Linked DNA regions of Lepisosteus oculatus. The protein of the gene in region 1 binds, or shares a complex with, the protein of each later gene. Links are inferred from orthologs where the notes say so. Each region holds a gene or a part of one and is shown in the gene's direction. Other genes may lie near its edges.

The links.
Region 2: prpf6 (region 1) and lsm8 share a complex: the UniProt entries of both Homo sapiens proteins name them as parts of the U4/U6-U5 tri-snRNP complex. The link is inferred for Lepisosteus oculatus from reciprocal best matches to the Homo sapiens genes PRPF6 and LSM8.
Region 3: prpf6 (region 1) and snrnp40 share a complex: the UniProt entries of both Homo sapiens proteins name them as parts of the U4/U6-U5 tri-snRNP complex. The link is inferred for Lepisosteus oculatus from reciprocal best matches to the Homo sapiens genes PRPF6 and SNRNP40.
Region 4: prpf6 (region 1) and sart1 share a complex: the UniProt entries of both Homo sapiens proteins name them as parts of the U4/U6-U5 tri-snRNP complex. The link is inferred for Lepisosteus oculatus from reciprocal best matches to the Homo sapiens genes PRPF6 and SART1.

Annotation. Positions count from the first base shown.
Region 1 is NC_090711.1:6,106,554-6,114,195, forward strand, and holds the start of prpf6 (pre-mRNA-processing factor 6), read left to right. Parts: upstream 1-4,630; 5' UTR 4,631-4,664; coding exon 4,665-4,894; intron 4,895-5,402; coding exon 5,403-5,568; intron 5,569-5,721; coding exon 5,722-5,840; intron 5,841-5,951; coding exon 5,952-6,030; intron 6,031-6,430; coding exon 6,431-6,607; intron 6,608-7,240; coding exon 7,241-7,396; intron 7,397-7,642. UniProt on the Homo sapiens protein: Involved in pre-mRNA splicing as component of the U4/U6-U5 tri-snRNP complex, one of the building blocks of the spliceosome.
Region 2 is NC_090702.1:45,582,546-45,589,817, forward strand, and holds the start of lsm8 (LSM8 homolog, U6 small nuclear RNA associated), read left to right. Parts: upstream 1-4,266; 5' UTR 4,267-4,370; coding exon 4,371-4,401; intron 4,402-5,397; coding exon 5,398-5,438; intron 5,439-5,841; coding exon 5,842-5,969; intron 5,970-7,272. UniProt on the Homo sapiens protein: Plays a role in pre-mRNA splicing as component of the U4/U6-U5 tri-snRNP complex that is involved in spliceosome assembly, and as component of the precatalytic spliceosome (spliceosome B complex).
Region 3 is NC_090706.1:10,109,683-10,117,583, reverse strand, and holds the start of snrnp40 (U5 small nuclear ribonucleoprotein 40 kDa protein), read left to right. Parts: upstream 1-4,886; 5' UTR 4,887-5,038; coding exon 5,039-5,158; intron 5,159-6,094; coding exon 6,095-6,224; intron 6,225-6,720; coding exon 6,721-6,814; intron 6,815-7,901. Other genes in the region: zcchc17 (zinc finger CCHC domain-containing protein 17), read right to left, coding at 608-649. UniProt on the Homo sapiens protein: Required for pre-mRNA splicing as component of the activated spliceosome. Component of the U5 small nuclear ribonucleoprotein (snRNP) complex and the U4/U6-U5 tri-snRNP complex, building blocks of the spliceosome.
Region 4 is NC_090713.1:22,042,460-22,050,322, reverse strand, and holds the start of sart1 (U4/U6.U5 tri-snRNP-associated protein 1), read left to right. Parts: upstream 1-4,846; 5' UTR 4,847-5,072; coding exon 5,073-5,343; intron 5,344-6,561; coding exon 6,562-6,616; intron 6,617-6,796; coding exon 6,797-6,852; intron 6,853-7,816; coding exon 7,817-7,863. Other genes in the region: collagen, type I, alpha 1b-like, read left to right, coding at 1-102, 191-318, 2,295-2,544, 2,787-2,913. UniProt on the Homo sapiens protein: Plays a role in mRNA splicing as a component of the U4/U6-U5 tri-snRNP, one of the building blocks of the spliceosome. May also bind to DNA.

The DNA of each region.
Region 1 (7,642 bases):
TATCAAAATTTAACACATTTTAAAGATACAAAGATATTTATTTCCATCTATTTTATCCTTGTGTCAGAATAGCGGCTATATTTGTATCTTTCAGCTTGATGCAGGTATAATGCTAAATAATAAAGTGCATTCTACATGGCAGAAAAGAGCAATTAAGAACTCTACTTTCAATAGTTTTAAACTTTAAGTATACCCATACTGTAGTGTGCACTCATTCCTCTTGGTAGATCAATAAATCATAATTAAACTCCACCAAACCTTTCAGTCAGCATGAATTAAATTGAATCATTGATCATGAAGGTTCAAGTTAAATCACCTTCATTTTAACTTAACCTGCACAAACTGCAATGACATAAACATTGAAACAAACTTTAGTCTATTGAGCCCCTCTGTTATGTTACACATCTAGCATTTTTTGAAAGTGAATATTAGGATTGTTAGATTATATACTGTACTTAGTGAGATTCCCGGCCCTTGTCATATTTAACTTAACATGTTCTTTATAAAATCACTGCCCAGTGATTTTTCCTAACCAGGTAGGGTGAAAAATGCATACTCTTGGTAAAGATAAGCCTTTCAAAGTTATTTAGATCAAAGATAAGACAATGCATTTTTCCATTTCAGCATGGAATAAACCTATTACTTGTTCCATAAAGACAGATGACTTTTTTCACCTCCTTCTTTAAATGCTGTAACTAAATTAAATCAGATACAGTGAAAAGCAGTTTGTTAAAAACAGCAGTCAACCAGAACTGAATATCTTTTTATCTTGAATCCTCTGTGCTAATCTCTAGTTGTTAACAATTATTCCAGCCACTGCATTCTCTTAGGTTAGGGGCTTTATGTAATGTAATGTACTGAACCACAAAGGCTCTTTTCCAGGTGCAATACTCAGGGAAGGTTTTAGAGAAGACAAATTGCAGAAGCTAAAAATGACACTGGAACACATCAAAGAGGATTATTAGATCCTCAGGCAAGAACTTTGGTTCTTTTCTAGGGTCTGAGCCCCTGGGCCTAAAGAGATGATTAGTTTTCCATTTCTCTCCTTCCAGCTTCCCACCCCTTAGTGCTGCATTCATTTAATTTAAAGGAAGCCTTCCTGGGCTGCAGACGAGATATTTTCATAACAAGCTGCTTCAGACAGGGCAGTGCACACGAAGCAGGAGAAACTCATTTTGACATATTGCAATAACCCATTCAGGGGCTATAAAAATCATATTGTAAAACTAAGGATACAGCCAATCAAAATGCATCAACACATTTTGATGGCTTCTCTGATTCTATTATATACACACACACAACATATAGATGTAATATATATATATATTTAGAATTTTGTGGTATCTCCATCCAGAACTGAATCAATAAAGACTGCAGATGATGATATACTGTGCATTTATACTATATACAGTATAGGTTTAATAGCATACTTAGACAGAAATGGCATAGGGAATTTGTATTTTGTATTGCTTCCATTTCTTATTTGTGCTTCTGTTTACATGTATTATTAAACAGTAATTGTGAAGTAAGTTATTCTGAGGCTGCAGCAATGGTTACACTACTCGAAACATCACTGGCATCATCACTATGGTACATTTTAAAGTTACTTCAAGGTTTTCTTTTCTTGGGGATCACTGCAGTATGTCTACAGAAAGACTTTCCCTCTCCTGGACTCCGTGTCGGACTGAGATGTTACCGATGATGTGATCAATCCACAAAAATGAATGCTTAAACCCCTAAAGAAATTAATTAGATATGAGCATCTTGTTTCATAAAAGAAAATTTAAAGTGCAACACAAAAAACAGGACAACAAACTGTAAAATGTAGGCAAAAGAATCAAATGTATTATATTGACGTGTAACAGGCACCATATTTTGAAAAGGCAGTACTGTGTGAGACAAGTGAGTTTTAATATGAGCTCTGAGTATTTCATAGTCTTGATGCAAAGTAGGACAAAGCATTTTGCGATTCAAAGTCTTGTTAAGGGTGCAAAGAATAAATCTGCTTGGAGCACCATAAGAACATAGTTAGGGGTGTAATTCATCAGGACGGTAGAAATAATAAAGGGAAAGTTCCCTGGCATGGCCTATAAAGCAAGAACTATATCTTGAAGTCTATTCAACATTTAACATGAAGGCAGTGTGAAACCTAGTCAGAACTCTGGGTACTGGGTTTTGAACATACTGTAGTGCCTTTAAAAAATGCAAAGGTCAGCTGAAAACAAAGTAACTTCAGCGTGTGCATTAATCATAAATCATAAATATTAATAATAAATGTTCCAGGTACATTACCAGTCCCAGAGCAGATATTTTTAAGTATAGTATTACATACCTTTCTGGAATGAATGTACATATAAATTATGGTCAAAACCATATATTGAATCACAGTCAAGTCAGATGGCTTCAAAGAAATCTTTTTCTATTACCTGAAAATGAAACGTCAAATTAATTCAACATATCAATGTTTCTATAAAGATTTACATTTTCAGAAATTGTAATAGATGTATTATAAAAGAATAAAGCTTTACTGTATATGTCTGTCTTTATAAATACATCTGTCTTTATAGTCATTGGATTATAGCTTATAGTAAAACCAATGTAAAAAAACAATTTGCTAAGCAAAAATCTGAGTTTTAATAATAAATCTCTCCTACATGAATAAGAATTTATGTGAATGATGTTTAAAAGTAGAAAATACATGTGTTTTTCTTTACCCAGGATATATAACGAGTATAAGAACATTACAGACTATATATTATGGGGGGAAAATATTATTCCTTAAATGTATTCTTCAATGTATTCATCCTTAAACGTTAAGCTTCGGTATGAATTCAGAACACAATAATAGAAGCTCACTGAACAAAAAAAAGGTTACTGACATTTGAGTATTCCAAAGAAAATGAGACTTTCAGAAGAAGCCACCCTAGTTTGTCAGATAACGCATGCCCCTTCTTAAATGCGAGAGACGCTCATTTTCTGAAATTAGTGAAAATTCAAGAAACTAAATTGTCGAGGGATGAACGATAAGTACAATGGAATTCAATCACACGCTAATCTTGTTTCTGAAATCCACATCATTGTCTATCCTGTACACTGGATTGGTAATGGCATAGACTCACGAAATTAAATTATCTCCCCTAGAACAAAGGTTACCTGAATGTCTCCTAAAAGTCTATAAAACTGAACACCTTGTCAACTGAGCCATATTCGTTGACATTAAGATAGGCTCCTCGCAATCGTTAGAAAGTGGAGCAAGGTGTCTAGTTCCATTACAGTGCAGGGCAGCAAAACACTCAACATGTAGCAAATGGAATTACAGCGGAGATTTGGATTGGCATTCTGGTTGATGAGTTGGCCATGAACGAAGATTGCAGACTGATCTATTAAGTCCCGCAAAATACATGTCAAATAATTTAATCAAACAAGGGCCTCTTCCTCCCTTTTGTTTATAGGCTTGACAGACATGGAAATTATTTTCATTATCTCTCCGTCTCTCGTTTAAATCAGCATTCTAGTTCGTTTAAACATGCAACATTATGGCCTGCTATACGAAGGATCATTTTATATTGTTCTGCTGCCCTCTAATGTTAATACATTGTGTGTGTTTGTGTGATAAACAGCTGTATAGTATCTGTATAGCATTTATACAGTGCTTTACATATATGGGAGAACGTGCTTCATCTGACCACCTGGATGACGCGTGGTAGCCATTTTATCAGGCAGCCTCACTTCACAGGCAGGTCAGGTCTTAAGAGGTTCAACCTATTTTCGTTGCGAGTATCTCCTTTCAAAAAGATCGTTCCCCGTAAGAAACGCCAGTTTTAGCATCAAATAAAATTTCTATACATGATTGTCATAAATAAAACTCTCTTTAATAATAAGATATTAAAATCGAGTGCTAAACATCAGTTAGATCCATATCTTCAGTCTATTGTTTGTTGTAAGAATTATATAAATATCATGAATGCGATTTATATATATACCTTTTATTTTGTTAACTGAGTATTCTGTCTATAGAAGTCGTTTGGCTAAAGACACCTGACGAGTAATAGTAAAAAAAAGATCATTGTGAAAATGTAATTAACTTATAACAAATAAATAAAAGTATAAATATGTAAAGTAAGAGGGGTTTAGATGGTCAAACAAAATCCCAAATCTGTAATTAGTAACAGGTAACAGTATACAGTATTAATCTACAGAAAACCAAGCAAAATCTAAGTACAAAAAGCAGGATGAACCAAATAGTAATAATTAAACACCACACGCAACTGTTGGCATACCATTTCACTGTAAGAAATATAAAATATATTGGAAGATAAAAATAAAGTGTAATTATTGCTATTTCCATTTTAAAACCAGTTAAACTGCTGTTACTTATATTTTATATGACAAAATTGACATTGGTTCTGTTGATCTGCAGTTCTGATCTTTATATTTCACATTGCACCAAGAGTAACGTTTTTTACAACAACTGAAATCTTCAATTTGACTGTGTTTATTAATCTGTGAGATTTTACTGAGTAACATGTAGGCAAAGTTTAAACCCCCATATTTAGAAGGGGCTTAAAACGACCAGTAGGGGAGCTGTTGTGGTAAATCAGCGCAATCGCAGTTAAGGTTAGACCTTTACCCCGGAAGTTGTTTTGGTTAATGGTGGCGCAGAAATGGCTAGCGTTTCCACAACTCCGGCGTCTAGAAACGCATCAAAGATGGCTAGTTCATCAGCAGGAGCTGCTGGTAGCAGCAGTGGAAGTGGAAGTGGAGGTGGAAATGTAGCCTCCAGTCTGTCTGGGACTGGGGCAACTTCGAGCCTCACCGGGACACTTAACAAGAAGAAGAAACCCTTTCTGGGCATGCCAGCACCCCTGGGATATGTGCCTGGTCTCGGTAGAGGGTAAGATGTGATCCCCGTTCATTGCATCTTAAAAAAAAACATGCAGTTTAGTCTTTTATGTATTTTAGCATTATGGGGTTTGATAAGCTGTCTAGAAATAAGGCCACACAAGTCAAGTTGTTATAAGTTGTGGAAAAGATTTAAATCCATTTCGCTACTTGCAGTAGGCTTTTTTCAGAAAGTACTGCAATTAAAGTTTGTTCCTGAGCTAACGATAGAACCATAAACCTTTGGTTGCTTTGATGTTTTCACTGACGATATTCTAACTATAAAATACTGACGATGTTGCGACTCTAGACGTCTTTGCGACCTTGTGTTAAATGTAAGATTTCATATTATATATATTAATAGTCTATGCGGCTATATTTGTGTAGCCTAGCTTAATTAAATTGTATACATTTTGGATGTTGTGTTTTTGGAAAGGAAGACTACAAGTGTTTTGGATTACAATGGCGAAGTTATTCTCTGTGCTATGTTATCGACCGGACGGCTGTTGTGTTGTTTTCAGTGCCACTGGTTTCACCACCCGGTCTGATATCGGCCCAGCCCGGGATGCCAATGACCCAGTGGACGATCGCCATGCTCCTCCGGGGAAGAGGACCGTGGGGGATCAGATGAAGAAGAACCAGGCAGATGATGATGATGAGGATCTCAATGACACCAACTATGATGAGGTAATAAGCCTTTATGATGAGGAAATCATCAGGCACATCCAAGGCTGTAGCCATTTTTTCTAGAGGCGTCTTTAATTTGAACTGACGGTTTTATGATTTTGTACAATCGCTGTTTTTAAAGCATGTTAATCAACCTTTCTCATATCTCTGCAGTTCAATGGTTATGCTGGTAGTCTGTTCTCAAGTGGGCCCTATGAAAAGGACGATGAGGAAGCAGATGCAATTTACGCTGCTCTTGATAAGAGAATGGATGAAAGGAGGAAAGAGAGAAGGTGGGTCATCATAGATGAAAACGTCATTATTTCATAAAAAAAACAACATTGCTCCTTGTGTGATGTAGTGAATAGCTTTATCATCGCTTGTCTGATCTCTGTTTTCAACAGAGAACAGAGAGAGAAGGAGGAGATTGAGAAATACCGTATGGAGCGTCCAAAAATTCAGCAGCAGTTTTCTGATCTTAAGGTTTGTACAATGATAAGCGTTTCAGAAAATGGTTTTCATTCTCATTACACATGAAATACAATGACAACAGGTATATGTTTCTCTCTACTGTTTGTCGTGTAGTAAGTCTGTCTTTGGACCAAAGCTGGAATCTAACTGAGGCCTCCAGAAATAAATGTGCCGCAAAATTCAGCCACTTTACTTTTGTTGCAAATGTGTATTACATACATCTTTCACTAACAGGGAAGTTCCTTCAACAAGATTATTACCCTTAGGTAATTCAAAAACATCCAAAAAGCATGCAGATCATTGTCATATAAATATATGTGGTAAAAATAGATCACTTAAATGCTATAAGTAGCATGTGTTCACGAAGGCGTGCTGTAATGAGTGTAACGAGTCAAGATTTCTACATCTCCAGAGGAAGCTGGCCGAGGTCACTGAAGAAGAATGGCTGAGTATTCCAGAAGTGGGCGATGCCCGAAATAAACGCCAGAGGAATCCACGCTATGAGAAACTTACGCCTGTACCAGACAGCTTCTTTGCCAAGCACCTCCAGACGGGAGAAAACCATACGTCAGTGGACCCCAGGCAAGGGGTTAGTGTGCTTGTTTTCCTGTTTTCCAAGTTTGTCATGACTTTGTTTTGTTTGATACGCAGTTCAGTGCATCGATTCACGTTTTCAGAAATTTACATCAAGGTGCATTCTCAGAAACAAACATTATATAAATAAACTATAATACAAGCTTCCCTTTTGCCTCTTATGTAAATGGTTGCTATCTAAAGTGAATTTATTCATCAATTTACTGCTAAGTGTAATGTCAAAAATTCTTGGTAATTCCAGAAGGAATAACCAGGGTAGTTGAATGTTTTTTTTTTCGATAAGCCACCCAGCATCTGCCGTGTTTATTTAGAAGAGATGCATTGTAATTTTAAAATGCACCAGTAGATGTCAGTTTAAGAAAACACCCGACAATATATAATGATGTATAGCTTTATAGCCCACAGAAGCGTGAATGCAGAACATTTTTATTTTTCCTCTCAGTGATAGAAACCCCCATGAGATATGTTCTCACTTTAAGCTAATGTTCTCCTAGCCCTCTTTTTCAGCATCTGTTCATTATTCTTCAGCTGTAAGCCTCCAGCTGAGAGTACAAAAATAAGAGTGGAAGACAGGGTTTTTCAAGAACAGTCAGAAAACTGTTTGTTTTTATTTGGATTTTTTTGTCAGCAATTTGGAGGGCTAAATACACCTTTCTCTGGAGGGCTGAACACCCCTTATCCAGGAGCAATGACCCCTGGCCTGATGACCCCAGGAACAGGTGAACTGGACATGAGGAAGATCGGGCAGGCCAGGAACACCCTGATGGACATGAGACTTAGTCAGGTGGGAAAGTATTCCTGTTTCTTTGTTCCTGATTTCTTAGGTTTATGTCATTTCTTATGACATTTAATGACATCTCTTTGGGAAATTAGTCACACTCACTGATTCCAGTTTTTCTAATAAAGCCATGCACCTGATTGCTTTTGCATTTGGTGAATTTCATTACATATCCTTAGAAAAATGTCTGTGTGTCTGTGTTTCACATGTAGTAATTTTGTGTTACCAACCATAGCAGTGTGGAATGTAAGG
Region 2 (7,272 bases), on another chromosome or scaffold:
GTTGAAAGTGACATATCTATGGTAACCCCACCTGGTCCTCTGATTCACTATTAAACTCCAGGCTGAATGTGGTCTTTCAGAATCTTTTGATTTTTGTGGGAATTCTTCAAGGTAATAATAATGTTGCTTCTACAACTACTGCTAAATAAATCTTGTTTATTAAGTTCTGTTTCAGACCTTTTGTGTACTCATAGTGTCCATTGTAATGAACCATTCAGCCTTCTGAAGAGCGCTATTTCTTTGCACCTTTTTGGTGATTGTTTCCTTGCAAAACTGGAAGAAATTAAACCATCTTAGGTTGATTCTTGCCACATTTTTTGGACTGTGAGTGGTATAACTACAGTATGTCTATTCTATAAATATGAAATATTGTATTTTTGTACCAGTTTCTCTTCTACAGGAACATCAAAAAAGCATTCAGCACTTTAGCAAAAACTGAAACAGCTTAGGAATGAAACGTTAAGCGCCACTTAAAAAAAACACATTTGAATAAAGGGGAAAATATCATAACAGACATAATAATTGGCCTTGGAGAACCTTATAAAAATATTACATGATTTTTGTCATGGTTTGTATACAAGGCCCTCTAGCTTTATTCTTAGGTCTCATAAAATAGAAACAATCTACAACATAGAGACTTGTGGATTGGACAATGTGTCTTGCTTAAAAATCATAAAAATGTTAAGGTACAAGTAATAGGTTTGTTCCATGCTGAAAAGAGAAGAAAGGAAACACAACGTTTCGGCTGTGAAGCCTTCTTCAAATATAAAAATGTTATACAGTTACCTTAATAGGTTTGTAAATAATAAGGTAAATTGGTTATAATGTTTAGAAAACAAAAGGTACACATTTATTCACAGCCCTGTTATTAACATTTTATTAATCCTCCTTTGGCAGGGATTACACTGGAAAGACTCCTTCTGCAGTATGCTGTGAGGTTCTGCCACTTCAGTTAATCTCAAAGGAACAGCTAAAGGGTAATTCCTTGCTGAAAGTAAAAAAAAAGAAACCCTATGTTTCGGCTGTGGAGCCTCCTTCAGGTGCTTTTTCAGGAGCCTTCACACAACTGAATCACAGAGCTTCTATGCAGATTCGCCAGTGTATCAGCAGCCTCAATTTTCTTAAACATGTTCACACAACAGTTTCCCTGGATACGAAGGATGCACAGTTATGGGTTCGAGCATCCAGAACCCCTTGTCCTGATTATTGTAATGCCCATTTGCTAACTCAAAAGGCTTTTGTCTGCGGTCTGGAGCAAAGACATTCTAATATGCTAATTTTGGTCTATATTTGCATTCTAACTTAATTGGCATTCTTTTTAAGATTCTAGACCTGAAGGGTGCAATGCTCTATGATTGACAATTAGAAAAAAACACAAGCAAGTTCTCAGTATGTGACAACCTGCTGGGCATGTCGTAATGGACCTGTAAAATAGGTGGGTCCAGGACAACAGACACACATATACACAGCCGTAAGGTTAAAAAATAATGCTTTTATTTATTTACAGAAAGGGAAATAAAAAATACAACCAAACACCACACAAAACTCTCCTAGCTCCTTTTTGATCTTTTGACTGAGTTCTTTTGTCTGAATTCCTATCTATCCCATTGGGCAACTAAGCTGCTATGATCAACTAACATTTGTGTTATCTCGAATTGACTACTGTAATGTTCTACTCGCTGGGGTATCTAAATCTACTTTGAACAAACTGCAGTATGTCCATAATTCAGCAGACAGAATCCTGACCAGGTCTAATGCAGGTGATCACATTACTCCTATCCTGGAGTCCTTGCACTGGCTTCCTGTCAAATTCCGTGTAGGCTTTAAAATCCTCATGCTCACCTATAAGGCTCTGCATGGCTTGGCACCTCAGTACCTGTTTGAACTATTATGTCCTTACTCCCCACCTCGCAACCTTTGCTCTTCTGATTCTGGTCTCCTAACTGTACCCCAAGCCCGTCTACATTGTATGGGTGACAGGGCCTTTCTCCTGTTATGACCCCAAGCTCAGAGATTCACCTTCTCTAAACTCCTTCAAATACAGACAGACCTTCTTCTTTAGAAGAGCCGTTAATTAACTGGTTCCATTCTTCACTCCTCTGCTTTTCCTAGTACCACCATCCACGGTCTCCTCTTGTGTATTCTTTTTATTTATTGTTGTTCTCCTTCTGTAAAGCGCTTTGAGAAGCCACCTTTATTACCGGCTTCAAAACATTCAGTTTACAGTATTTCAGTCTCTCCCTGAGACTCCACATAATCAAGTTCCTGTCTCACTCTGACACTCTTCAAAACAAAACCTCAAAAATTTCTAAAACATTCAGTTTCTTTGGCTTACAGTTCCAAAATTCCATTGTCAGTCCTTCTTAATTCTGGACTGGGCCTTTCAAGGACATTCACTGTCTTCTTGACAGACAGCTTCAGTGTGGCCTTGTGTTTCAGGTCCTTGCTCTGCTCCTGATGAAATGTAAATTTTGCATCCATCTTCAGATTCCTGGGTGGCTCAAGTAGGGTTTTCTCTAGGATTCACTGTGTCTTTGTGCCTTCCATCTTTCTTCACAATTCTTCAAGTCCTTGCTGACAAGACACTTTCCCATAACATGATGTTGACACTACTGTGCTTGTCAGTTGTGATGGTGCTGAATGGGTGATATGCTATACTTGGCATGTACCAGATAAAATGCTTTGCATTTAGGCCAAAAACGTGAATTTTCTGCCACTTCTTGCCATGCATCTGGCCTTTTGTCACAAGTTTGCAGTATGGGTATTGTGAGATTTAAGGTGGGTATTTTTCTGCCAATACTAACTGTGACTGTATAATGTTTAATTTTAAATTTTGACAATTGAGGACTGTAATTCGAACATTATTTGTGTTATCTCAGTAAAACAAAAAGTAACATATTAAGAAAATAAGATTTGTGAAGAGGTAAATAAATGTTTTATAGGTATCATAGAAAAAAACCCAAAGAAAACATTCTAATCTTTGTTAATGGGAATTATATCCATCCATTTTTTAACTGCTTTTTCCAGTACTGGGTTGCGAGGGAGCTGGAGTCTATCGGCAAGCAAATGGGCACAAAGCAGGATACAACCTGGAAGGGACTTTAGTCCATTGCAGGACATACACAGACAGAAACACACTCATGCCATGCCTAGCTGTCCCAGAAGCTAATTAACCTGCCAGTATGTCTTTGAACTCTTAGAGGAAAGGTGAGCACTCTGAGGAAACCCACGTGAACATGTGGAGAACACACAGCTCCATACAGATAGCTCCCCTGGAACTGGAGACAGGACCCCAGCCCTGTGAAGCATCCATGTTAACCACTGCACCACCATGCCATCCTAATGGGAATTATATAAAATATATTTAAAAATACTGTATTTTTCTAAATATGGCATGGAAATGGTATTATATTAGTGAGATATTTACTGAGAGATGATGTTAATTACTTCATAGAGAACCTTTAAATGTCCATTTCAGAGACTTTCATGCAGTTTTTGATTCGGTCTCTAGAGGAGTCATAGCTTTTCTTACAGGGGATAAAAATGTTTACAATTACATAACAAATGAATTAACATCTTTTTTAGGTGGAGTTAATATATTGGAAAAAGATCTTTATCGTAATCTTTATATTAGGAATATCTAAGCATGACATTATTACAATGTATTATCAAACAGGGTCTCTATCTTTTAACAATAATGATAATTTGCAGAAAGTGTACGTCTCTTCAATAAGGTTATAATGTGCATAGATGTTTTTGTATCAGACATCTAAATTCAAAACTGAATTTGATAAATTTCGTGTTTTGCAACTTGCAAAAAGCAACCTTTACGAGTTTTCCCGTCGTAACGGGATTGTAGCTGAATTTCACACGCACAAACCTGGATGCAAAATAAATATTTCTGCTTAATTTATTAATTTGTGAAAAACTATATATTAATACATTGTTTCAATTCCAAACATAAAGATGTTTAAAACAGAAATTGAAGATTACACTAAAATACAAAAAAGATGTTAAGAATAAGAAAGCTAATTGGATATTAACGATATCACAGATATTAATGATATTTTAAATTCTGTTATCTTATTCGGACATGTTAAACTAAAATCCCTGAAATTAATGTTCCATGTTATAGAAGAACAATTATATTGTTCTTGTGTGTAGATGTTTTTGATCCTCGGATTGTTTTTTCATAAAGTAGGAAAAAAATCTTAGTGACGTGCAACAACATCGATGTATCAGTGAACATCTAGTTGGGCCTGTGTTTCCCATCATTCCTATTTCCGCTGTGTGTGATTTGTTAGCTAAGAGGAGAGTATCTGTTTGAAATCAAGCTCAGTTGTTCGAAAGCTGGAGTTTTTGGTAAAATCATGTCTACTGCGTTGGAGAGTTATATCAACCGTATCCTTAACCCGTTTGTTTTTAGAGTTCTGAAGTAATGAGTGGACAGATGTGATAGATTTATGTGTGTGAATTGTCGCTTGTAAAGGCTTATGAATTGTCAGGGTGGGCCTAGCGAATGCATTTTCAACACCGTTGTGATTAGCGGACATAGGCACAAAATAAAAACGACAGAGAAGCCTCAATGTGGTCTAATGGTCAATACTTGGAAAAAAAGATGTCCGTGTAATGATGTGAACACGAACGTAGTGCCGCATTCAAATTAGAATTTAATTGCAAAATTCAATATTTTGTTAACCTAGTTGAAGATAGTGTTCCCAGTAGCAAAATGTTAATAAGTCAATATAATAAATGAAAACGAAGCTTCGTTATGAACATATAGTAGTCCAAAAGGTTTTACTTTATTTCATATTTAAGATTTAGGTAAACTAGGGTAGGGTAGGTATTGTAATTCAGTATAACAAAATCTGGAGCTTTTAAATGTCATACCCGTTGCAGACCTAGTTTACCCGATTTTAAGTTTTTATGTTAAAACTTTAATTGTGCATGATTGTAGGGCAGACCGTATAAGTAGTACTTTTTAAATTAAGCTGTGCAGCAGCTAGAAAAGAGTATTTGAGGTTTCAAGACGTTTTTGGAAAAAAAACGGAAAAAGATTCCAGTGAGTGAGTGTGTAAAGTCTGAGAAAGTAAGGGGCTTCATAGTTTCTGCGCTTCATTTTTATTGCAATCAGAATTAAACCAGTATAAATAAAACATACTTTTAACATCCAGACACCTGGAGCGTTTTTTGAGGACGTTCCGTGATATGGAACGAAAATCTTTGAATGTCCAGGCTAGGAAAAGTCAGTTCCTGAGATATATCAAAGCAGGAGTAGATGTCATTAATTCTAAGATGGACTTGAACATGTAGAGATGAGATGGAGTAATGATCTAAAATAATATATATTTTGTGACTTTTATACCAATGCATTATTCCTTAACTATTGGAACACAGGCACCGTGGCAATTATTACATCAGATGGAAGAATGATTGTGGTAGGTCTACTGCGGTTGGACTAGTAATATAGTAGTATCTACTGTATATAGCATCAAAGAAAGCACTACAGTATATTGTGAGGGAACAAGTAATAGGTTTATTCCATGCTGAAAAGAGAAGAAAGAAAACAACTTTTCGGGTGTAAGTGTTTCTCCACAGCTGAAACTTTGTTTTTTTCTCTTTTTAGCATGGAATAAACCTATTACTTGTTCCTTTTCTGCCTACGCATGCTGATGCTTCTACCCATCTGAGCTATGTTGTGAGGATGTTTTTAAACTATGTATCTTGGTATGAAAAATGTCAGGGAATGTTACCATTGGCAGACACTTGAAGTATCCTGGGTAACTTACATTATAATTGTATAAATTAACTTACTAAGTTCATTCTGTCTGTTTTTACTAGGGGACACTTAAAGGATTTGATCAGACCATTAATCTGATTCTTGATGAGAGCCATGAGAGAGTGTTCAGTTCAACGCAGGGAGTTGAACAAGTCGTGCTTGGATTATATATTGTTAGGGGAGACAATGTGTAAGTATTTAGACTTTTTAAAAAATATTTAACATTTTACTATTATGGTGTTTTCAAGGTTGTTTTTTAAGTTATAGCTTCTAAACTTTAGGCTGTTATTTGTTGTATGAGGTGCAGTATAATTGTGACTTTTGACCTTTTTGCAACATTTCAGAAAACATTGCACTGGAGTATAAACACTAATAACAAACGTTTTTCTGGATTGTTGCAAAAATAAAGTCAATTTTAGCTTGATATGAGTCTGATGTAGGAGCACCATGGTGGCACAGTGTATAACTTTGCTGCTTCTCAGTGCTGGGGCCCTGGATTCAATTCCAGCCCTTGGGTGCTATATGCACAGAGTTTGTGTGTTCTCCCTACGTTTCCACTGGGTGCTCCAGTTTCCTCCTGCAGTCCAAAAACCTGTCCAATAAACTGTCTTCTGGGAAAGTTGGCCCTAGATGTGTCTGTGTGCCTGCCCTGCAGCAGTCTGCTGTTCTGTACCTCGCCTTGCGCCTGCTGCTTGCTGGGATAGGCCCCGGCTCCCCTGCGACCCTGAATTGGAAGAGGCAGTTAGAAAATGGCTGGATGATTCTGATGTTCGGTTGTTTCATCTTTATTCAGCAAGTTTCAAATCTGCCTTATAAGGTGATAGCTGAAAACCAGCTCCACTCATGTACATTAACAAATTGATTGTTGGGGTCATCCGTTGAGGTGAGAATACAATTGGCTTCTGGGTGACCTGTGCAGTGCGTGTCATTTCCAGCATGAAATCAGATTATTTCTGCCTTTGCAACTCTCCTGTCATTTTCTAAATTGCACCAAAACGTCTAATTGCCTGTATAATATGCCATATAGAATACATACATCTTCTTTGTCGTATCTTCTAACCCGCAGGAAAAACTGTCCTGAAGCTAGATCACTGTACTAGCTTGTGAACTAACTGGTTATTTTATTATTGTAACAATATTGAAACAATATTATCCTGAACACGATTTGACCACAACAACTAGTCTGTCTGTCTCATTTTTCCCATGTGTCTACTTTCTATCCTGCTGGTCTGCCACAAAATATACTTCAGTTTTTACTGACATCGATCCTTTTTGATTTTGCTGCTCTCGTAGAAACGGGGACCTCCTGATTTTGTTCCCACATCATGCACATGCGGTTACGTGCTTGGAATGCAGCCACATTCATTTTCCCACAAAGATTGAATTGTGCAAAGTAGAATTTTGTATACTTTACAGATTGTTATACATTTTTTAAATATTATTTTGGATACATTTGTATGCTAACCTTATGTTAGTAGTAATTTCCTAAGTAT
Region 3 (7,901 bases), on another chromosome or scaffold:
CAGATACAGGGCCCAGCTAAACAGGGCCCCCTGGTGATAAGGAAAGCCACCTGCATTTTATTTATTTACACTCTGCATACGTTAACACTACTTATAAATTTATAACTAACTCAACTTGTGTGCATTAAATATGGAAAGTATGTGATTAGGAACAAGAGTCTAAAACTAACAAATATACAATTTATAGTATTTGTATATTAAGGTTTTTTCTATGCCAAAGTTTACTTCCATTGCAACATTTCAAGATACTGCAGATCAGTATTAATCAAGTCAATTTCACTACACAAGCACACAGCATTAATGTGAGAATGTGAGAATATGTCATATCAATATGTTTGGCACAGCCAAGGTTGTGACTAGGTTGGACAGGGGTAAGGTCCTCAGTGACAGCACCATAAGGTCACAGGTCTCTCCAGTCAATGGTGTTTGTACTGGCAGTTGTACTTTACCCAGCTGACCAACTTCACTAGCACTCTTAGTAACAGCTGCTTGGCACAGCCTAGGATTTAAACCTGTAACCTGCAGTCGATGACACCCTCATGTTTAATAGATTGACGGGACTCTTGTCAATCTGAAATCAAGAGTTTAAACACTGATGCTACCTTACCTCTCCTCTGAGGATACTGTACAGCTCGGGCAGTTCATCCATGGCTGTCCTCTGGTCTGAGATCTATTCTGCTAAACTAATTTGCGGTGTGTGCCTCGACTTCATCTCCTCAGGAAAATTCCTAGGTGAAGTGAAAATAATCCTATTATTCCAAACTATACCTATACATAAAGATACTGGACAAAAAAAAACAGAAACTCTGAATTGTCACTTGACAGGGTGTTGGGCCACCACCTGCAGCCTGTACAGCCTGTATGTGCTAGGACATGGAGTCTACCAGCATTTTGAATTCTGCAGGAGGGATGTGGCGCCATTCTTCAAGGAGAAAGACAGCCAACTCACTCCGGATTGGCAGAGGTGGAAAATGATAACTCAGGCATAGTGCTAGATTATCTCATAACTGCTCACTTGGGGTCCGGTGAGTGAAAAGACCAGAACATGTGGATAACATCAGTGTCTTGCTCAGACCTATGGCCCACCACTCATGCTCTGTGGGTGGAAAGAAGAGCTGCAACACAGGCTGAAGATAAGCACTCAGTACCATTAAGCAGCGATTACCATTGATCTTGCCTTCTAAGGAAATGAGCACACTCAAACCATTCTTGGAAAATGACAAAACCACCAGGACCCAACACAGAACCAAATAATACCCATCTATGAATTGGCCTCATTACTCTCTGCTCTCCTCCCCACTGATAGCTGGTGTGTGGTGAGCGTTCTGGCGCACTATGGCTGCCATCGCATCATCCAGGTGGATGCTGCACATTGGTGGTGGTGGAGGGGAGACCAGAAAAGCGCTATATAAGTGTAAGCAATTATTATTATTATTATCTATCATATCCCATTTCTTCACTGCTCGGCAGTCTAACGCCTGGGCTCGCCAGAGTGCACTGCAACATGGCAGTTGAAATGGGCTGAGATGTGCAGTCAATCGATCTGCAGTTGGACATTACAACCCCGGAATACGCACTTTTCCCACTTTAGACACCGATGCTCTCGAAACATCAGCCCGGCGAGCTGTCAAACGCGCCCAAATATCCACCCCTTTTCCAAAGTCACTGTGGTCCAGTATTTTTAACACTCGCAATCCCAAGCTTACCCAGAGTATTTACATTTTTGTCCACTACCTCAACAATCACACAGGAGCATTTTAGACATCCCAGTTAACCTAGCCAGCATGTCTTATTACAAACTGTTGTAATATAAACCTGCTTCCGAAACGTAGGGACGAGAGTGAAAAGAGTAGCATAACCAAAACTAACTGATCATGCAGCAATAGTGCACAGTACTATTAAACCAAAGGCACATTGCGTCAAACAAACACCATTACATACCAGAACGTCTGCACTTAGCGAAAACAACATTGCAATTTACTGTATTAAATCTTTTGATATAAGACAGAACATACTTCCTGAAGAAAACAAAACTAAGTCACTAACCCACATTCGCATGCCTCAGGAGCTACAAAGAGCGGCAGAGTGCAGTCAGCGCCTGCGTATAACAGGCAGGCTCTACAACCAATACACGGCTCCTTCGCTTTCTGTTCCGGGGTGAGAGTCCGCCTATCGGATTTAAGGGGGCGGGTTATGGCAGTGCGGGCGAACAAGGAAAGGCCCAATTACATAGACGTAAAATAAAAATACTGTAAATATTATCCAATCAGAATCGTCAGTAGCCTGATGTTCTTTTTGCAGACTCTCGCCCTATTGTGTTCGCGGGTGGTAGCTTCGAATACAGGTGATAGGGTGAGAACACGTCGGTTGAGTTTACAAGTTTATTTGATAATAGGGTTTTGATTCGGACTTGAGTAAAAAAATGATGGAGCAGAAGAGATCAAGAAATTAGATGGTGTCCGCGGCTCAGTCCCAGCATCTTAAACAGATACGATTATTGAATTCAAAATACTTCATTCATCCCCAGGGGGTCAATTTAAACAGCAAGCGGTGTAACATGCATCGCGAGTGCAGAAGTAGTTATAAAATCTAGCCAGCAGCCATATCACCCTGCAACTCACAACTGGCAACCCACTGAAACTAAGTGGGTGTGAGCCTGGTCAGTACCTGGATGGGAGACCTCCTGGGAAAAACTAAGGTTGCTGCTGGAAGAGGTGTTAGTGGGCCCAGCAGGGGGTGCTCACCCTGCAGTCCATGTGGGTCTTAATGCCCCGGTATAGTGAGGGGGACACTATACTATAAACAAGCGCCGTCCTTCGGATGAGATGTAAAACCGAGGTCCTGACTCTCTGTGGTCATTAAAAATCCCAGGGTGTTTCTCGAAAAGAGTAGGGGTGTAACCCCGGTGTCCTGGCCAAATTTCCCATTGGCCTTTACCAATCATGGCCTCCTAATAACCCCCCTCTATGAATTGGCTACATTACTCTGCTCTCTTCCCCACTGATAGCTGGTGTGTGGTGAGCGTTCTGGTGCACTATGGTACAGGTGGTGGTGGAGGGGAGTCCCCATTACCTGTAAAGCGCTTTGAGTGGAGTGTCCAGAAAAGCGCAATATAAGTGTATAAGTGTAAGCAATTAATTACACTGACAGAGACTGAAGACCAAGGTTGAAACGGACACTTCCACACAAAGCACTAGGTTGTTTGAAGATTCTATTTTAAATAGTATATATTACAGAAATTACAGACAAATTGGTGGTTTATGCCACAATATACTTTGTTTTTGTCAAGTGTTTTATGTCATGATGCTTGCATTTGTACCCCAAAACACTTGGAAATCTGTGTAGTTTCTAAATAATTGGCACTGATAACCGCTCCTTTTTACTGTCTGGTTTCTATTGCAGTACTTAAAAACAGAACATTTTTTTTCCAGCCACTTTTCTTAATTCAGATTATTTTTCTAAAACTTAATTGCAATGTAAAATACAAATAGTATCATCTACCACGGAGGTGGCAGTTTACTCCAGGGGTTGACCTCTTCGTGGTGCGGTGGCTCTGTAGCTAAGGATTAGCGCCTGTAGCTGGTGGAAGGTTGCCAGTTTATACTGTATCCCGCAGCTGGCAGAAAAATCCTATTCCGTTCGGATCCTGAACAAGGCCCTTAAGCCCTAACTGCTCCAGGGGCGCTCTGACCCCAAGCTTCCCTTCCTGTCTATATCTCCTGGAGAGCAAGCTGGGGTATGCAAAAAGAGAAATCCTAATAAAAGAAATTGTATATGGCCAGTAAAGTGAACATGCACAGGGGTCAATTACTTGTCAAATACTCCCAGGCAGTTAACCGAGATAATTTGACTGTTTGATTAGGCCGTTGACACACTGTAATGAGCACCCCAGCTAAATACCTACATCATAAACCACCAACAAACATTTCCATGCCTATGCTACAAAGAACCTTGCAGCACAAATTCCAACATCCTATAAGCTGACGTAGTAATAATAATAATAATAATAATAATAATAATAATAATAATAATAATAATAAACTTTATTTTATATAGCGCATTTAAAGGTGACTTCTCAAAGTGCTTTACAGAATGACAACAACAGTAAATAAAAAGAATACACAAGATAAAACACAATTTCAATATACAGAGGAGACCATGGATGGTGGTACTAAGAAAAGCAGAGGGGTGAAGAATGGAACCAGTTCAGTAAAGGCTTTTCTAAAGAAGAAGGTTTTGAGTCTGGATTTGAAGGAGCTTAGAGAAGGTGACTCTCTGACATCCTTGGGCAGAGAGTTCCAGAACTTGGGGACATAACAGGAGAAGGCCCTGTCATGTAGACGGGCTTGGGGGACAGTAAGGAGACCAGAATTAGACGAGGGAAGGTTGTGAGGTGGGGAGTAGGGCGATAATAGTTCAGACAGGTACTGAGGTGCCAAGCCATGCAGAGCCTTGTAGGTGAGCATGAGGATTTTAAAGTTCACACGGAATTTGACAGGAAGCCAGTGCAAGGACTCCAGAATAGGAGTAATGTGATCATTTGCACTAGACCTGGTCAGGATTCTGGCTGCTGAATTTTGGACATACTGCAGTTTGTTCAAAGTAGATTTAGATACCCCAGCGAGCAGATCATTATAGTAGTCAATTCGAGAGAACACAAATGTGATCAGCTGTCCGTGCAGCTACGTACACTGTCCATTCAGCTTTTCAGTATAACAGACAGGCATTTCAACCAATACACAGCTACTCTACTTTCGGTTCCGGGGTGAGAGTCCGTCTATCGGACTCTAATGTTAGGCGGCGGGGCGGGTGAAAAATAAGGCGACCAATTACATAAGACGTAAAATAACAACCTCTAAATGTTATCCAATCAGAATCGTCAGTCACCGGAAGTTCTTTCTGCGGATGCTCGCCGCGTTTGTGTTGTTGGGTGCTCTTGGATGTGGTTCGGAGTTTAGCTATTTAGTTGAAAAGGCAACGGTTGTATCGACATATTCATTCGAAAGTAACGTTTTGATTTGAAATTGAGTAAAAAGAAATGATAGAACAGAAGAAGAGGAAGGGAGTAGGGCCAACGGAGATGGCTCTGGTTCCGACGAACAAGAGACCAAGAAATGAGCTGGTGGCCGCGGCTCAGTCCCAGCAGCTCATGCAGATGGTAGGAACTAAAAATACGTTGGCTGAATAATGCGTATAGTTCATTTTATTTTACCGAGCTCTTTGTGTTCTGCGAATTATAGCCTAAACGACACCAACTTGTTATTTACATTCGAGATATGGATGTTTTGACACACTGTACTGTTTTAAATTGAGTTCCGCCTCTTCTTTATTTTTTAATAACACCTGTTATTTGTATTTGAAATCGTGGTTAATATTTGGTAACATCAGTTCATGTTCGTTGAACATTTCAACGGCCTCAGTGCTTGATTTTGCAGTAGTGTTCGTGCAGGTTTTGACCTAAAATTCACCTAAGTTTCATACTAACAAATCATATTTCTGTTTAACAAATCAGATTTATCACAGCAAACAAATTGCTTTATAATCCTAATGCTTAGTCTGAAACTACACTGCATATATAGTATGTGTAAAGTACAATAGACAATTTAAATGTATTAGTTTGTGATCTGATCATTACATCCTGTTTGTGAAACGTTAATTTCTTCTTTGCTTTATATCATTTTTAAAACCGGGCAAAGATTGCAACGCCGAGTCTTCAAAGAAGAAGATGCGAAGGTTGTGACAAAGATGTAGTTTATCGAGGACTCCGGTCCATACACAGGAAGCCTAGTCTTAATTCTAGCTGGGAAAGTTTGTTTTGCCCTGTTTGAAGTTTAAAGATATTTTTTGTTAATGAGAATTCTAAAACATATCTGTAAAAGTACATTCTTAGAATACATTTTGGAATTGGGGAAGGTGTTCAGATGTATATGAAATCGTTTGCTGAACACAGGATTGTGGATGCAAAAGCCTCTCGTCTTAAAGACAGTCCTGCTCAACTGGAGCTGATTAGATTTTATTGTGCTCTTTGCATGAACTTCTGCCCTGAATATTATGGCTAATCTGACTCTGTACCCTCTTGTCTGTGTAATCACAGGGCCCCCCACGAAGTTCCAGTTTGCAGGCTCCTATCATGCTTCTCAGTGGCCATGAGGGAGAGGTCTACTGCTGCAAGTTTCACCCCAATGGGGCCACGCTGGCATCCGCAGGCTACGACAGGCTGATCTGTGAGTACTTGTGATCAGTTTCTTTTCCTGAGGTAATAAAAACACATGTATTAGTTCAGGTGGGTAGCTGCGTCAGCATGCGTAGGCTGCAAAGGAACAAGTAATAGGTTTATTCCGTGCCAGGGAAAAAAGAAGAAAGAAAACAACGTTTCGGCCGTGGCGTTTCGGCTCTTCAGGTGTGAGCAAATCGCATGCATGTTTGGTGTGTTGCGATTGGAGTAGAAGCAAAAGGACACTTAGACTGTGTGGCCAGCCTCTGTTCACCAGACCCCTAAAACAATTCTTTACAAAGTATGAGAGAGTACGACTTCACTCTTGTGTTTCCTAGGAAAGACTCGATTGAATACGATTTGTTCAAGGAATTTGAAAATCTCCTTATTTTTTTTTGATGAAGCAGTTGCATGTCCTTAGGGGTTCAGTACCCAAGATCATTTAAAAACAGTGTGTACAGAACATTCTCGGGCTTAATCTATTTTTCTGCTATTTTTGCTTTCAGTGCTATGGAGTGTTTATGGGGATTGTGACAATTACGCCACTCTGAAAGGCCACAGTGGAGCCGTCATGGAGTTGCATTATAACACAGATGGCAGGTAATGTATATATACCTAAATTGTTTGATTTCTACAAAGGTTCTCCTTAGTTAAATAAGAAGATTGTGTTCATATTAATGGGTTTTTTATTCATAAACGTTATGCAGCAATGTAGTTTAATTCCTCTACTTTTCAACAGTACGTTCTAGGTCCTTTTGTGTTGCTTACTGTATGCTTAGTTGAGAGCTTATTATTACTTTGAATCTGAGCAATCTAGCCTGGCAACATCTCACACATTGGACACCAAAGCTGTGTACTTCAAACAGTAGTTGATCAGCTGACTGCTGTGTGTGATTCTGGATTTAAACTTTATTTAGAAGATTTTAAGGGGCAATAGTACACGGAATCAGATTATTCACATTAATCTGTTACCTGTATCATTATTGTACTTTCAGCATTCCTTTGGTTCTGTTAACATTTCTAGACTGGACACCTCACAGAAATGCTTTAAAAAGACAGTATTATAGTGCAAAATAGAGCTGAAATGTGCCCGAGCTTCATAATCCTGTATAGCTGGGAGAGTGGAATAGCAGGGGGTGATATGCCATAATGATTCCCAGAATGACAGCTGCACAAACACAGCCATAACAGTGCTCTAGACACAACAGCCAGAGCTCACCATACACGGCATGCAGTATAGGTTTGATACAAACCCATATAGAAACACAGAGTTTAAAAGCCCAGCCCTTCTTCGAGCTTTAGCTAAACGTCTGTTTTCTCCTGTAAATCTGGCAGCTAAGGTGCTTACAAGCTACAAAGCAAATCTCTCTCTCCCAAAGTCTTTCCCAAAAATAATCTCTGTTCCAAAAATTATTCTTGTCTTTAAAAACTTTTGTCACTCCAGTGGCCGGTCCTTCAGTCACTTCCTTCTCCTTCTGATGTGGGTTGTGTAGGATTCCCTGCTCTCCTTCTACACAGCAGAGGCAGGTGGCCAACCCGGAAGCATCAGATTCCTAGTTTTAAATGTCACCAACCAATTGTCTTGCTCTGATTGGTCAAGTGATTGAAGATGGCAGTTCATTCCCCACATAACCCTCACTCCACAGCATTCTGGGGAATGTGGTTCAGACAAGAATCTCCACCCTGT
Region 4 (7,863 bases), on another chromosome or scaffold:
GCCCTGGGGCAGCCCGCTCCACACCGGGACAGAGGGCGGCTTCGGCCGCCAGGAGCCCCTTTGCGGCGAAGCCAGCACCGGCTACAGCAGCTATCCCACAAGGCGAGGGCAGGCAGGCAGGCAGGCAGGCAGCTGCTCTGCTAGGCCTCCCCCCTCCCCCGACTGCCGTGACGTCACCCTCTCCTGTGAGCCGGGGAGGAGCTCCCTCGGACTCGGCAGAGGAAGAGCCGCAGCCAGCTCCCAGCTCGGTGCGCAGCACGCTCGGTGTCCCGCTAACCCAGACCCCGGCCCCCGACGGCCCGCGCGAGCTACCGCTTTGTCAGCGCCACTCGCAGCTTCTCCCCAGAACGGCCCCGTGTTTCACAAAAGCAGCCTCTGCTGCAGGGGAGTGAGAGTGCGGCTCCCGCCGCCCCCGGTGGACAGTCTGCAAACTGCACGGCCCGGCTCCCCGGGGTCAGAGACCCTTCCCCGGGGCACTGCTGGGGCCCTCGTCACCGCAGCAAAAACAAAACCGTCCAGCCTCAACACTCCGCCTGCAAGCTGAGCAAGCAGCACCAGGAACACCACCCCGCTAACTGAATTAGCGCCAGGTAAACGGGCTGAGCCCCGCTCCCAGACTGCAAAGGCATTGTGCTCTTTCTTGCCAGCCTTATCACCTCATTTCAATACACTGTGATCTCCCAGACTGCAGACTGACCCCCGACACCTCGACCCTCGCCTGCCCTGAATTACCCAAACGACCCCTCTGCCAGAGCAACCTGTTGCTTTAAGGGTTAATGATCAATACAAGCCTTCTTGAGCCTTGAAGTGACACCGCCCCACAAAATTAAGGTCAGAGCAGAATACAACAATTGACAATTTACAGGATTTACGCAACAAATAACACAAGGAGATACGGCAGGGCTAGGAGCCCCGTCATTTATATCCTCTGACGGCAAAGCACCAGGTAAGACGTGGCTGCACCTCATCAGTTTCAAGAGGCCTGGCTGTTTAGCAGCGGTCTTTGGGTAACTGCTGGTGGCCGTCTAGCAGTCTTACGGGCCGAGGGAAAAGGCCGTTTTGAAATCCGTCGGTCTCGGTACGTAAACCAGGCCCCGCAGACCGAAACGACACCGCACGTACGAACCCCAACCAACACGCACAGACGGCAAATAAACTCTCAACTAGTTGGGACTGCGCACAAGGATTTCAGTCAGTGTCTGTGCAGCTCACCTGGGGCCGAGCCCCACCCCCACCCGGCAAGACACCCTGCTCTCTCCTGCTGGCCGTTATCGCCCCATTCAAACAACGTCAATGCGCTGGGCTGAGCCCTGCTCCCAGACTCCAAAGGCATTGTGCTCTTTCCTGCCGGCTTTATCACCTTATTTCAATACAGTGTGATCAATTCAATTCAAGGTGCTTTATTAGCATGACCGATGGGTACAATCAGCGTTGCCTTAGCAAATAAAAGTAATGATATTTACATTAAACAAAACAAAAAATTAAAGTAAAATAAAATCTACAGATTCCCAGACTGCAGACTGACCCTCAACACCTCTCATTCTCCTGCCCTGAATTACCCAAACGACCCTTCTGCCAGAGCAACCTGCTGCTTTAAAGGTTAATGATCAATACAAGCCTTCTTGAGCTTGAAGTGAGTGTGTATTAGATTAGTGTGTATGCTCCTTTTGTTGCACCCATGAGAGGAGGAAGCAGGAGCTGGGCAATTGAGCACTGTTTTGTCTCAGTTTGCTTTACTGGACTGTGCTGTTGGGGCCATGGCTGGGAAGGATTCTGCAGGATGAACCGAGTCCGTTTCATAGAGAGATTTCTTGAAAACATTGGTGATGAGTAACCTGTTGCTTCAAGGTTTAATGATCAATAGAAGCCGCCCTGAGTCCTGAAATAACGCCGCCCCACAAAAAGAGCCCCATCAGACCGACTCCAGTGGAACTGGGAACTGGCCCCCTGCCCATGGCGCTGGAGGAGCTGCAATTAAACCAGGCCCGGCAGGGCCCCCCCTCGTCTACTGCACCGCGCACGGCCAGAGACAACGCCTCAAACACACGAACCCCAACCAAAACACGGACAAACGGCAAATAAACTCTCCCCCTCTCTACCAGTTCGGACTGCGCACAAGAATAACAATACCAAACAGAAACCGAGCTAAAAGAGGTCGAAAAAAGAAAACGGTGCAAACTAACGCAACGCCCAACTAAACTGGGTTTTAGTCCCGAGTTAAAACCCGTAAAATTCGGATTCCTACGGATTCCTTCTCTTTTCAGCAGAAAATAAACTTTCCTGTACCTTTGCAGCCTCGCCTGCTGACGCAGCTCCCTGCCTGCACCTCTCGGACGGGACGCGCCGGGTCCAGGGGAGGCCGGGGTCAAGGTCGGGCCCGGGGGCCGTGGGCTCAGGAGCAGCCGAGCCGGGGCCCGCTCCCTCGGCGGCCCGGCCGCAGCAGAACCCGGCCGGGCCGCTGAGCCTCCAGCCCTCCGCCCGGGGAGCTCGGCTTCACCGCGGGTCCAGACTCAAACCAGGCCCGCTGGCGCGGCGGGAGGCCTGGTCACCGAACGCCGCTTGGCGTCTCTCAATTAAATCGTTTTTTTTAAAACTATCGTCCCGCCCGTGGGAGCTGGTTTGTTTATTTGAAGAAACGCGTTTCTTTACCTGTTTTTCGTCCGTCCGTCGAGTCGGCCTCGTCTTCCTCTCCGTCAATATTTTACAATAATTTTAATTACAATTCGCGCTTCCAATTAACTCGACGCCACAGACGATCTCGCTCCACTGCTCTCGCGCACGCCTAGCCCTTCCCACCCTCAGCGCTTCCACGCGAGGCCCGCCCCCCACCGCCAGCCAATAGAGAGCGTCCGTCGGCTCGTCCAGCCAATGGGCAGGGAGCGGGAGGAGGGCTCAGTACCTCTCGGCCTGTGATTGGCCGGTAACAAGCACACCTGCAGGTGTCTCCTGAGCATCTCGAGCCTATCACCTGGATTTATCACGCACTGATATTCAGGACCGCGCCCGGTTTTTACACACGAAAAATAAAAAAAAAAACATGCCTGAAATGTCAACGTGCGCTTTTGACTCCCGAACGAATTTCTTATTTCCGTCCATAACAATTTTGGTCCCCGGAAATGTGGAGGTTCTAGCCTGCAATTCTAAAAAAAACCGTTAGAAATGAGAAAAATAACGTACCCGAAGAGAAAGAAATGTCAGTATCCCCCCTAGTAGCACAGCTGGGTCACGGGGGTGGAAAAACGCCAAACCCGAACCTCTTCCGGCCGCCGAGGAAAAAGAAAATCACGCGTCACCAGTGAAATTTCGTCAGAAGAGCTATCGCCTGCACATATAAACACGATGCTTCAATACATATCTGTCTTCATGGAGACTTGTCAACGCCTGCCCCACCGGTGTTATCCAAGTAGATTTTAAAAGCAGTACTGCGAAAGTATTGCAAAAAAGGTTATTCAAATGATTGAAATGGAGGTCGTTAAAATTCACATGCCCCTCAATTTATAGAGACCTTATTTATAGCATGTTCTGGGAAACAGTACACACAGGAAACACAGGACGACATAGTCATTTTGTGCTGTCATTTTATTTTTTCACGTAAAAGCACCACAAGCCAGCTGCCACAATGTGCCAGCTGACCTCAGGTCAGTAACTGGTAGCCATTGAGATAAGGGCTTCTGTTGCTTCATAATACCAATAAGATCGTTGCTGACAAATTACAATAAACTCACTATTTAATGAAATGATTTTTCTAAAAATATGTTGTTCAATTTGCACTTTATTGTGTTTGTGTTTCCGGCATCAAATATAGTGTAGTAGCTAGTCGGTGATCCTGAATTTTATACTGGTACTCAGCTGAATCCAGATTTCACTTCTAACATTTGAATATAGAATTGTCATATGAACTGTCTTCTTTATGGAACAAAGGTTGGGAACGTGAATTAAATTCCTCATTTCAGTTTTAAATATAAACACAGATTTATTTTAAATATGAGTTGTGCCGCTTATAAATTATGAAGTATAGCATGACACCTCTATGTAGTAAAATATGCAGCGCTTTAAAAACTAGAATTTAAGCACCTTTTACCCTTTTTACTTCTGTTTTACCTGTTAACAGGTAATATGTTTGAGCTAAAAGATAACACTCTTTTCCCTCGGGTATCATTTCGAATACTATTTACAACTCTTGTCTATAAGAATTTTATGTCCTGTGGTTAGAAAATTATGGATTGATCTGCAAAGTGATATAAAGAAAGGCTTCTGATATTGACGTTACCTTGAAAGAAATAGATAGTCACGTTCATTTTTAATCTCATTGAAAATAAAATGAAAATATCCTTTGGCAGTGACTGAATCATTGTATTTGCACGTTATTATGGATGCAGGTGGATGCTGCACATTGGTGGAGGTTGAGGGGTCCAGAAAAGCGCTATATAAGTGTAAGCAATTATTATTAATTATTATTATTATTATTATGCACAGAAAATGAAATGGTCTGGGAAGAGACCCGCGGTTGAGCAGTGTGAAATAAACCGTATCCACAGATTATTTCTGATTATTTATGTGAGAACACGAAAGCAGGGCGGGCTTCATCTTGATTCACCTTGGTTAATCCTTTTTTGTAAAGTGCAGTTGTCTTACTGCATGTACCCCTGGCGATGTTATTGGTGTACTCTTGTCTGTATTATATGCGTTGTTGTTGTTGCAAGAACAAAAACAGTTTGTTGTAAACTGCTGCGCTCTTGCGGTGCTGTAGCGGAATCCGGCAGGGGGCGCTCGCACATTTAAGCCGCCCGTCTTGTCTCCTTGACCCGGAAATATATTCGTGTGTGGGTGCGCGTGGGGGGGAAGGGGAGGGGTGAAAGGTTATTACTGCGTTCGAGCGTCGAGACGGTTGTTGCGTTGCTGTCGGTGTTTTCGATCGTGGAAAAGACATTTTTGGGGGTTGTTAAAAAAAAGAGAACTCTCTAGCGCCAGGGATTGTCTACGCCGTTGGCGAGTGGGCTTTGTTTCGATAGTTTACTCGCCTGTGGCTTTTTCCCTGTTTGTATTTTTACCCTCCTGCGCTCGCTGACGGGATGCGCTCCTCCAAGAAACACAAGGAGAAGGACCGGGACCGGGACACGGAGGACCGGCACCGCGAGCACAGGAAGCACAAGCACAAGGAGAAGGACAAGGACCGGGAGCGGGAGCGGGATGGCGCCAAGGACCGGGAGAAGAGGAAGCGCTCCCGGTCCCGGGAGCGGGAGCGGGGCCGGGGCTCCGAGAGGGAGGGCCGGGGCAAGGCCGACAAGAGCGGCGCCGAGCCGCGGGTGAAGAAGGAGAAGACGGACGCCGGGTACGAGGAAGGTGCGTCGGTTAACGACTTCGGACGAGAAAAAAGCTGCAGCTCTCTCCCTTTTTTTTTAAAAAAAAAAGTTCCTTCTCAAAGTAATAGCTGTGCGTGTATGTGTAATAATAATAAACGTACGTAGCGCCTTTAGAAGTGGGTTCTCAAAGCGCTTCACAGAATAACAGCGACAGGATGTAAATATGCAGGGGGACAGGAAGAGGTTTATTCCGAGACGCGGAGAAAAGAGACGCAGGGTTTCGGCCGTGGAGCCTTTTTCAGGCGCGTCAAGTCCCTACAACCCAATACCTTGCGTCTCTTTTCTTGTCCTCCCAGCAGGGAATAACCCCTTTACCTGTTCCTCTGCAGCACCGCGCTTGCAGACGCAGCTCGATCCTCGAAGGTGCGGTGAAAACCGCAGTAATGGTCACGGTTGGTAGCGGTTCGGACCCGTCGCTGTGCTCCGTGAGAGTCTGGTTTTGTAACACTCCAGAAAACGCGAGAAAGCGGCTCATCTCCCCTCCCTGGCCACGGCTTCATCAGCACAAGAGCCTCACTCAGCTGGTGAAACCTGGAGTGGATCAGACTGCTGTGCAATGGGAATCACGAACACTGTGTGTTGTAATGCTGTGCCAGCCAGCCAGCAATCCAGTCAGTTAGCAGTGGCAGCCCCACTGGAGCCCAGCAGGGTGAGCCTGGCCAGTACCTGGAGGGGAGACTCCTGGGAGAGCTGAGGCTGCTGCTGGAAGAGGTGTTAGTGGGGCCAGCAGGGGTTGCTCACCCTGCGGTCTGTGTGGGTCCTAATGCCCCAGTATAGTGATAAGGACACTGCACTGTAAAATAGTCGCCGTCCTCCGGATGAGATGTAAAACCGAGGTCCTGACTCTCTGTGGTCATTAAAAATCCCAGGGTGTCTCTCGAGAAGAGTAGGGGTGTTACCCCAGTGTCCTGGCCAAATTCCCCCCTGGCCTGTACCCATCATGGCCTCCTAATAATCCCCCTCTCTTTACTGGCTCCATCACTCTGCTCTCCTCCCCACTGAGAGCTGGGGTGTGGGGAGCGGACTGGTGCATCACCCAGGTGGGGGTGGAGGGGATCCCCATGACCTGTCCTGGAGCCTCCACTCAGAGCTCTGTAAAGAGCTATCGAATAGTAAGGACTGTTATTTATTGTTGTTGTTCTTGCTCATCTGTGTCATTTCTGGCGATGTTAACGCGCTCTGAACTGTCTCCGTGCAGCGGCTGGTCCAAAGTCTGCCTCCGGGGATGCCTCTCTCAGCATCGAGGAAACAAAGTAAGTGAGCAAGGGCGGTTTAACAGTGATGGGGAGGGGGGGGTGATGTTATCCGGGGAAATGGATCGGATCACAGGGTTTGCCAGCAGGAGTACCTCTGTACACACTTCCATCGTGACAGTCTGTAATTGTGTCAGGAAAACCATTCACTCCAGTCTGGTTGTTCTTTTCCCCCTCTAGTAAGCTGAGGGCCAAGTTGGGTCTGAAGCCTCTGGAGCTGAATGAGAATAAGAAGGGTAAGTGTTGTGTGTGGGCTTGGGGCTACATTTAGTCCTGTAGGTCACCCTGAATCACGGGTCTCCAGTCCCAGTCCTGGGGATCCCCAATCCAGCGTGTCTTACAGGTCACCCTGAATCAGGGGTCTCTGGCTCTGGTCCTGGGGAGCCCCAATCCAGCGTGTCTTACAGGTCACCCTGAATCAGGGGTCTCCAGCCCTGGTCCTGGGGAGCCCCAATCCAGCGTGTCTTACAGGTCACCCTGAATCAGGGGTCTCCAGCCCTGGTCCTGGGGAGCCCCAGTCCAGCGTGTCTTACAGGTCACCCTGAATCAGGGGTCTCCAGCCCTGGTCCTGGGGAGCCCCAGTCCAGCGTGTCTTACAGGTCACCCTGAATCAGGGGTCTCCAGTCCCAGTCCTGGGGAGCCCCAGTCCAGTGTGTCTTACAGGTCACCCTGAATCAGGGGTCTCCAGTCCCAGTCCTGGAGTCTTATAGGCTAGTTTGGAAGAAACTGTCCCACTGTGCTGTGCTGGCAGCTGACGCTCCTGGGTCTTGCCAACCTGCAGTTTGAGGCAGTTAATTGTCTTCTGGGGAAAATTGCCCCTTGTGTGTCTGTGTGTGCCTTCTGCGGTGTATCCCGCCCTGTGCCCACTGCTTGCTGGGATAGACTCTGGCTCCCCGTTAGGAAATGGGTGGGTGAACAGCAGATGACGCCAAGAGCATCTCTGCTGGGATTCGAACCCACAGCCATTTAGAAATCCAGAACCATAGCGCAGGAGCTGACCTGGGTCCCCGGATCCCAGGTGTTTCCTGAAGGATCCCGGAGCCTCCATCCAGTGGCATAGCTGGGCAGTTTCACGCCCCGCACTGCTCCGACGCCCGAAACGCCTCCCATTGGCCCTTTCCTAAACGCACAAGTGTCCAAGTCCACCTGGCTTCTCTGAGAGCCCTCTCTCTCTCCCCCCCCCGATCCTGGTGGGCTCAGAGCTGGGCACGAAGGAGGAGCCTCTGGTCGCTGAGGTGATCAACCCC